2 linked regions of the Drosophila melanogaster genome follow. The protein of the gene in region 2 interacts with the protein of the main gene of each other region in a pairwise test. Each region holds a gene or a part of one and is shown on either strand. Other genes may lie near its edges.

Region 1 (4,872 bases), on a different chromosome or scaffold from region 2:
AGTGATGGAACCGTTGCGGGTACTAGTGATCCGTTCCTGCATGGTGCCCATGTCGGTTCCTAAGGTAGGCTGATAGCCCACCGCCGAGGGAATGCGCCCGAGCAAAGCCGACACCTCCGATCCCGCCTGGGTGAAACGGAAAATGTTGTCAATGAAGAGCAGCACATCCTGCCCGTCCACGTCGCGGAAATATTCGGCGATGGTCAGTCCGGTGAGCACCACACGGGAGCGAGCGCCCGGGGGCTCGTTCATCTGGCCAAAGACCAGAACCACCTTCGAGGAGTCATCCTCCAGGGAGATGACCTTGGACTCGATCATCTCGTGGTACAGATCGTTGCCCTCGCGGGTACGCTCTCCTGCGCCCACGAACACGGAGTAGCCGCCATGGGACTTGGCTATGTTATTGATCAGCTCCATAATGAGCACCGTCTTGCCCACGCCGGCGCCTCCAAACAGCCCGATCTTACCGCCCTTTACGTAAGGAGCCAGCAAATCAATCACCTTGATGCCAGTGACTAGGATCTCTGGCTTCACGCTCAAGTCGGTCAGCTCCGGGGCTTCGTTATGGATAAAGGAGTAGAAATCCGACTTGACCTCACCGCGATCGTCAATGGGATCGCCCACCACGTTGAGGATGCGTCCCAAAACGGCCTTGCCCACCGCCACACGGATGGGATAGCCGGTATCGAGGACCGGCTGACCACGACGCAGTCCTTCGGTGGAATCCATGGCCACGCAACGGACGATATTGTTGCCCAGATGGTGGAATACCTAAGAAATCGATTAATAGAAGTTAAGTTTAATAATTTTTAAAACTTTTCGAATCTTTAGAAGTTATGTTAAAATCCGTTTTAAAATTTTAATTAAATATTAGATAATATAATATGAATGTCGTCCGTCTTAAAATTGGTTAATCCTTTGACTTACCTCCAGCACTAGGTTAGCAATGGGAGCATCCTGCACCTGGAGCGCGTTGAGCACCTCCGGAACCTCCTCCTCGAAGTAGACATCGATGACGGGACCGATGACAGCATGGATGACACCCTTGCGACCCTTGCTCTCCAGCTTCTTGCCTCCGCCGTCGGACTTCTTTTCCTCACACTCATCCTCGGCTTCATCCTTCTTCTTAACCAGTTCCGCGTCCGTCTTGCAGACTTCCTGCGGCTCGGGCTCGCACTCATCGCCCGACTTTTTCTTATCCTTGTCATCCCAAAGGGACAGGGAGGCATGAAGGTAGCGGGGAAACACCACAGGATTACCAAGATAGTTGCCCCGGTAACCCCCGGTACCCGGGCCCATCTTCAGGCCAATCCTTGCACATGCTAACATGGTTTTTTTCATTTTCAGAGGAAGCTGGTCATGTGAAATAGGTTCATTCTTCTTACCTGTAGCCATTTTAGCCCATGATACCAACATTTTTACTTTAGTTTTTTATTCTTTCGCTGCTTGGACGTCTTTGCTGCAAATAAAACTTGCTTGTAATGATAGATTCCTTTGACAGATGACAGCAATGCCTACTATAAAGGATTCCCTTAATGCACTTTAAATGGGTTGTCACCTATTTATTTTTTAGGGATATTTGCTTTCTAAAACTTCTTAAAAGTTTGCAATATAAATCCTAAAGTTTTCTTAATTAATTAATTAATATAATATGATTTCTTATATTTTAATTTATTTTCAGGCTGCATTAGATTAAGCTTGGATTCATAATCGATCCTCAGATATGTTTTCCTTTAGCTCTATTTTAGGGTTGAGTCAGTTGGTTTCCAAGGATACCGATAGCCACAAAGCTCTGAAGCCAAAACAGTAAGGTTTTCAAGCTGATGGAAAATGGACGTACTATCGCATTACAGCTCACCCATAGTTGAATTTCCGGCCACGCAGCCTTTGGAGAAGCAGCATGCCCTGGTGGACAACTGTACGGGCACCGATCCACCTCCTCCCAGCCAAGATGCCGCCACAGGAACGCAGGAGAAGCTGCATGTGGCCACACAAACAGAGCAACGAGTAGTTAGTAGTAAGGATGTGGAATACGATGAGAGGGCTTTGGCGAAGTGGTTGCGACAGATCTGCCCCATGGTCGAACGGGAGCTAATGAATCCCACGCCTCTGATGGAGGATCTAACGATGAGCCAGTGCCGCTTGGAGGAGAAACTGCAGGTGTACACGTACCAGAAACTGATAATGGGTGGTGCAGAAAACTCGCAAGGACTGGCTATCTGGCTGTGTGTGCATACGAATAACGCCCCAGTTCTGGTGGCCACCACTGTAGCTCCCCATGATGACTGGTGCGAGCATGTGGATCAGCAGCTAAAACTCTTTGTTCCCCAAAGAATGTCCGTTGGCAACTTGGTGATTTATACAGAGGCCAAAACTCTACCCCTAAAATCCTGTTTGCGAAGTCTGTGCACAAATCCGTTCAACAAGACCATGTTCGCTGGTTCGACCATGGACGGAGAGCTCTTCATCTGGTTATATGAGCAGGCGAGGGGTTCCGATTCCAGCGTCGATATCAAACAGCTATACAGTGTATCCTCCACCCAGGGAGCTGCAGTGGCTCTGGACTGGCCGCGGGAACATCTTCTGTTGGCCTGCTTTGCCAATGGCAGCGTTCGCCAGTGGGATTTAAGCAGGCAGATGGCTCTGGATTGGGAGTGAGTCTCTCTAAACACTAAACGAAACATTTCCCGGCATTAATCTTAAATATTATTTAATTAACTTCTCCAGATACACCCTGCCCGCAACGGTTAGCTCAGAGCCTACGGCAATGGTGACCCTTGGTCTGGATGACTTCGTCGTGGGCACTAACGATGGTGGCGTCTATCGCTGCTGGAACACCGGCCGGCAAACCGCAGCCATCAAGCAGATCAAATTGTTGGCCCTACGGCGACATCGATTCATGGTTTCCACCCTCCTCCGTACCGAAATGGAGGGCAACCTGTTCGTCCTGAGCTGCGATCTCAGTGGACAGGCCTTTTATCACGATATGCGGCTTGTGGATGAGGTGATAACATGACAAACAAACGAGCTGAACACTATTTATTTTCTCTTAAATAATGAACAGGACATGGCTCAGTTGATAGTACAAATTCCACTTCCCTTTAAAAACGTAATCGCCTGTAGTCGGGATGGCAACATCATCTTTTGCCCAGCCAATGATGGGTCACTGGAATACTATAGGGTGAGCGATGGAGCCCATGCCCATGTCAAGGGAGGACTTCGCGGCAAGGGAAGCCTTATCCGTAGTAGCGACAATGGGTGAGCTAATAACGAAGGAAATCAATAAAACAACAAATTTGAATAATAATTATCTTACAGACGCTGGTTAATTGCAGGCCTCTATGGCGACGAGTTCCAGATATTCTACGTAGAACACTAAATAGTCGTATTGAATTTTGTTCTCAGTTTTGAAATAATCGCTTGTATTTGCATGACTGCTTATGTTAATATGTACGGTTTTATCTTCTCTTAGGTTTGGTATATACACAATTTTATTTTAAAATTTCTCAGATCTCTAACAAATACCACATGTAAATATAGACTATGTATTGTATAAACAAGACATTTTATCTGTGTAGAATTTTGAACAAAATGCAAAAACGTAAAGCCATTTCGAAAATTTGGCGTAAAATAAGACTGCATTCTCTGTGGGAATCTCGTTAAAACCGCGTTTTCACATACGATTCACAAAATAAAATGTTCCTTTTACAACTATAGATCATTTCATAGTGTTATCAAGCTGTATGTGAACATATAAAAAGAAATATGCTGTGTGTAGAAAAGTGCTAGAATGACATAATTACAAAATGGCAATAAATGAATACACTAAACTTTTATAACCATTTGCCTACAGTAAAATAAATTATACAATTAACATTAACGAGATATATGCGATATATAAATATATAATAGAACTGCACACAATTTTGCTAAATCTCTCACGTCCGAACGTCCGATCCTATCTGTCCTAATCACGCGATTCCACTCTAATCCATTTCAGTCCACTTTGCATCCACTCGTTCAACTTTTCACTTAAGCTTAGATTGCAATCTGCATTTTGCACATAGTTCACATAATAATAACTAGAAGCAGCGCTCGCCCAACTTCTGATTGGCTGATAAATTCAGTTGAAGAGCACCGTATTGGGATCTTCGTTATCCATCTGCTTCACATGGCGCAGCACATCTTTCTTTGTAATTACGCCCAGTAGGCGACTGCAATGGAATTTGGATTAGATAACTTGAAACTGGTTAAACTGCTTCTGGCCACAAACTCACCCGTTGTGTGTTACCAATGTTTGGCGCAGTCCCAGCTTTCGGAACATGTCCACTACCGTCTCCATTGGCGTTTGATCTGTAACTGTGATCGGTGCCATATCCAGGATCTTTTTCAGCTTCAGCGGCTGGGGTCCCAGATTTTGAATAGGCTGGGATGATGTGAATAATACTATGGAGCTGCTGCTAATGCCCTCGATTAGACGCTTGGCATTGCCTATAAAATTTGTAATATTTAATTATGCAACATGATCTCGAAACAAGTTGTGACTGACCTATGGCCAAGTTAAGATCCCTGCGCAATACAAAGCCCACTAAATATTGATTCTCCCGCGACACCACCACCGGATAGCCATTGTGTTCCGTTTCTTTAAGAAGGTTCTCAACATCGTCCACCGTCATGGAGTCTTGGGTAATGACATTCAAAGTTTCATTCCGCCTAAAATGAAGTTTTTGTTAGATGATCTTGAGGAAAAAAAGGTTTTCTTTATACATACTTTGGTTGCATCACATCTGCGGCCAGTGTTGTATGCGCAAACTCTTCTTTGCTGTCTAGGAACGGATAACCATTCAGCGCAATGTGCGCATCGTAGATACC
Region 2 (4,378 bases):
CCGGCTCTCAAAGGGAGTGTTGAAAAATTGAAAACGTTCAGAGCCCTTGGCTGGGGAAATAGGAACGGAAAATTGAGCATAATGTTGCAAACCATCTATCTTCTACACTTGAAAAGAAATGAGTGCAAACGCAAATTGAACTTTAATCTCAATTCAAGACAGATTTGCGCTGGAACCAAAAATGGAGACACCTGTAGAGGCGATTCTGGGGGTCCCTTGTCCACGAATATATTGTTTCCTTCCAATAAAAGTTATGAGGTGCAGTTAGGAATCGTAAGCTTTGGGGATCCAGAATGCCGTGGAGTAGGAGTCTATACCGACGTGACCAGCTATGTGGATTGGATCTCATCGACAATAGCTAGAAATGACTACCTACCAATCGGCGTGTCCGGGGGAGACATTGCCATGGGCAATCCCATTGCTCCTGACGCTAATCGGCACTGGACTCCTGCGGCTTCACCACCACTTCCTTCGATGTTGTACAATAGCTGCAGTCAGGATATCGCGGCACCGATCGCGCAGCTAAGAATTTATTGGCCTGGTTCTTATGCCGTTGGCGTATTAATAACAGATCGTAAGTATACTCTTTCACTCGAGAATTCCACAATTAAATGAGTATAAATTTAACAAGATTGAGTTTCTTTTCTTAGAATTGATCATCGCTGCTGCCACAGACCTGCCCACAGTTGCCGCCTATTTGTAAGTTGTTCGAAGGATTATCCCTTGTGCATTAACTGCTATTTTTCACATTAGTTACTAGTTTATTTTGATACCATTTTAAATTAATTATTCAGATACGTGTTCGTAGTGCTCGAAGGAATAAGCGCAATCAACCAAATTGAATCGGTTTCAAAGCACCCAAATTTTACTACGAATGATTACCGAAATGACATAGCAGTACTCAAACTTGTTCGATCAATAAGCAGCACAGGTAGAACATACCTACTATCATAGCAATTGCCTCGATTTACAGTTATATTCTTTTACAGCAATGAAACCCATCTGCATTTTGACAACGCAAATATACCAGCAAAACGCCGAAAAGGCTCGAGAATTGAAAATAATTGATACAGATTTAGCTGAACAATTCGACGTCAGGCTAATGGAAGGGAGCCAATGCGCGAAACATCTCGGATTTCAAATCAACGAAAATCAAGTGTGCATGGTAGATCCATCCGACACAAGTAATCCCCGCCAGAAACGTAGCTACATAGTGGTTGGAGGGATGAATGCCAATGGCCAGATACGCTACATTTTGGTGGGCATTTTCAGTTTTTCATCGAAAAACATACTCGTTTTTACGAATGTTATGAGGCACACGGATTGGATTCTTTCCTTGCTATATTCGTTAAATACGTCATCTTAAAATATTTAAATGCCTTAAAAATGTAAAAGCACGTGTAAATACCAATTACTGACATACGAGTGATTGGTACATGTTTTAATAATAAAGTAACATACGCTAACGAATAAGAAATTGTCTTTGAGAAATCTAAAATATTTAATCATTTTTCGAAGTAATCATGCGCGTTCTGTACTACGAGTAGTGTTATCTTGGAGTCTGGCACCAGGAGCACCTCGTTGGTTCTTGTGCGTATTCTCAGCATTAGTAGTTCGTCCGTGGGATCTATTTTACTCATACCGCGTTCCAGTCTTCCTCGAATAGCCTGAAAAGGTCCCGAAAATTGGACAGCATCCTCTCGGTCCATCGTACTCATCACCGGATGTCCCGACTCGTTGAGGATCACTACATCTCGAACATGTTTTTTCGATTTGACCAGGTCGAATGCTTTTTCCACATATCGTAGAGTTCGAGGTGGCTATTTAATGATGTAACCTATAAATAAATATAATTACATTCAATATGGAAATATTTTACCTTTTGTGGAAGATCCGGAAACATATTTCTCGTCTGCTTTGAAACACCTTGAACTTCGTAGTAACGGTTTCGTGAATTTTTAACCTAATTTTTTTTGTTTTCTTGGTTTCCAAGGTGCGTGTTGCTATATGGGTCAATATGCCAGATTAAACAATTCTGTGTAGTTGTTATTAATGTATTGTTAGTAAATAATAAACTTATTAAATTATTCAATCACAAATATTTTGATAATTACCGTTGCAAATTTTTTTCTCATTGAAAACTTCATATCGATATTTTCTGTTAACTTATGTGGAAATCTGTTAAATTAACAATGAACAATGTGCCATCACTGACAGTGCATCTCTAATATTGAACAAACAAAGTTTACTATTTCATTGAACTGCAGGTAGCGGTAGTGTCTGCCGTGTTTCCAACAAAATTATAAGAAAAAATGGTAAGTAAGAGTTGTGCATACACAAAAACATTAAGAAAATAACGTTACCTTCATGGCTTACAGTCGCAGGAGGTTGAGGAAACACTCAAGAGAATCCAGAGCCACAAAGGTGTTGTGGGTACAATTGTGGTCAACAATGAAGGTGGGTGGTTCAACTGCACCCCAGTGTGTGCTAAGATATCTAACTAATTCTCAACGCCTCCCAAATAGGTATTCCGGTCAAATCCACGCTGGACAACACTACCACCGTTCAGTACGCTGGCCTAATGAGTCAGCTGGCGGACAAGGCACGAAGTGTGGTGAGGGACTTGGATCCTTCCAACGACATGACATTCCTGCGGGTGCGATCCAAGAAGCACGAGATCATGGTGGCACCCGACAAGGACTTCATCCTGATTGTCATCCAAAACCCAACCGACTAAATGGCATGGTGCATCGCGACTATTGCTGAATTATCTGCACATTTATATCTGTATTCTAATCATCAGCGTATAAATGGAAAGTTAAATTATAATGTAATGAAATTGTACTCCATACAATAAATATATTTATGCATAAAATGACATCACGTAAACATTTTGGGCTCTGTAAACTTCAGGTGTTTTCAGCTGTTAGTCCGCTATAACTATTGATAGGGGCATTCATTCTTTATTTTCAAAAACTGAAATATGCGTTCTCTAATTGAAACAAATGACTCCAAAAGATAAATTTATTTTAACGCTAATTCTAACACGAACAATTAATTATTATAATATTATTATAATTATTGAAGTTGTTTGATGTTTGGGTAGTTGGTTTAAGCATCCGCTTCACCGACGTATTTATCGAATACTTTCGAAGCGAGAGATATGTATTCTCTTGTTACCTTTGAAATTGTTTCCGTTGCTATTAGGTGAACATTTATGTTATGTTGGCAATTAAAGACTACCACGGCTTGTACATAATTGGAAAGATTACAATAATTACAACGGTGTGGTAATTATATCCTTTAAAAACCATATGCAGGGACAGAAGGTATCGAATATGTATAAAATAACTTCGATAGTAGCAAAGTCCCAGACTATCGATGTTTGGCCATCGTCGTTGCACGCCACGGTCACACTGATGCAAAGTCGAGGAAGACGGATTCGTGTGTCGGTGAAAACCCGTGAGTTTTGCGTACTTGCATTTAAAGAAAACCCCTCAACGGAATAGTCAATAAATTGATTGGAGAGCCCAATCAGCCACCGTTTCGACCCAGTGTACGCGTGTGCAGCGAGTTAAGAGATCCACCGATCGATCAAATCGTATTGAAAAAAGGTAATTCGAAAGATGGGCGTGCAGCGAAAAGCGAACGAGTAAAGAAAATGGCGTAATCACGCACTTCGAAACCCAAAAGGCAGCCAGCAAACGCAACGCAAACGGAATCCAAATCCACGAACCCTCAATCGGCCAGTCAGCATTACTTTGGGTGAAAAAACGAGCTATATGAACGTGAAAAAAGTGAATAAAAAACGTAAAAAAAATGTGCTGCAGCCATATTTGTTCCGTGAAAATGAAAACGATACACACACACACACGGGCAAAGTCGAGTGTATATAGTCGTCGGTGCATATATATCTGTCTATACATATGTGCTAAGAATTAACTAAATAAAATGAAGCACTTCGTATCGGATCGTCATCGCACCGTTTCGTTGTTCGCAATTTCATTTCATTTCCAACGCGATTCTCGTTCAACGTACGTTGGTACATAGCCTGCCGTACATACATACGTACTTATGTATGTACACATGTACTTTCAATATCGACGATGGCATCACAAAAACACGACGCGCACACAGACACGCACGCACGTACCGTACAAACAAACAGACGTGCGGACACAGAGCAGGGTCTGTATGTACGTACGTGTGTTTATATATGGGACTGGTTGTTGTTGTACATAACGGAGAGTTGAACACATAAGGGCTGGCTGGCTCAATATAGAAAGAAGCATGTGGCTGCGCTGTCAGCGTCGCTGCCTGCAGCGCGTAAGGGATTTTATTACGTCGGACGTTTCGGTCGTCGGTCGCTGGGTTCGTT

The links.
Region 1: the proteins of robl (region 2) and CG13074 interact in a two-hybrid assay, tested with the Drosophila melanogaster proteins (2 studies listed by BioGRID).

Annotation. Positions count from the first base shown.
Region 1 is NT_037436.4:16,094,448-16,099,319, reverse strand, and holds CG13074 (uncharacterized protein), read left to right. Parts: upstream 1-1,826; 5' UTR 1,827-1,830; coding exon 1,831-2,654; intron 2,655-2,727; coding exon 2,728-3,004; intron 3,005-3,064; coding exon 3,065-3,258; exon of another isoform or gene 3,259-3,263; intron 3,264-3,316; exon of another isoform or gene 3,317-3,318; coding exon 3,319-3,379; 3' UTR 3,380-3,552; downstream 3,553-4,872. Other genes in the region: ATPsynbetaL (ATP synthase, beta subunit-like), read right to left, coding at 1-771, 928-1,322, 1,386-1,416; ClC-c (chloride channel-c), read right to left, coding at 4,124-4,214, 4,278-4,491, 4,550-4,713, 4,772-4,872.
Region 2 is NT_033778.4:17,454,259-17,458,636, forward strand, and holds robl (roadblock), read left to right. Parts: upstream 1-2,213; 5' UTR 2,214-2,312; coding exon 2,313-2,315; intron 2,316-2,378; coding exon 2,379-2,457; intron 2,458-2,525; coding exon 2,526-2,737; 3' UTR 2,738-2,871; downstream 2,872-4,378. Other genes in the region: CG10764 (uncharacterized protein), read left to right, coding at 1-574, 651-699, 795-931, 990-1,366; robls54B (roadblock similar 54B), read right to left, coding at 1,506-1,820, 1,880-1,903.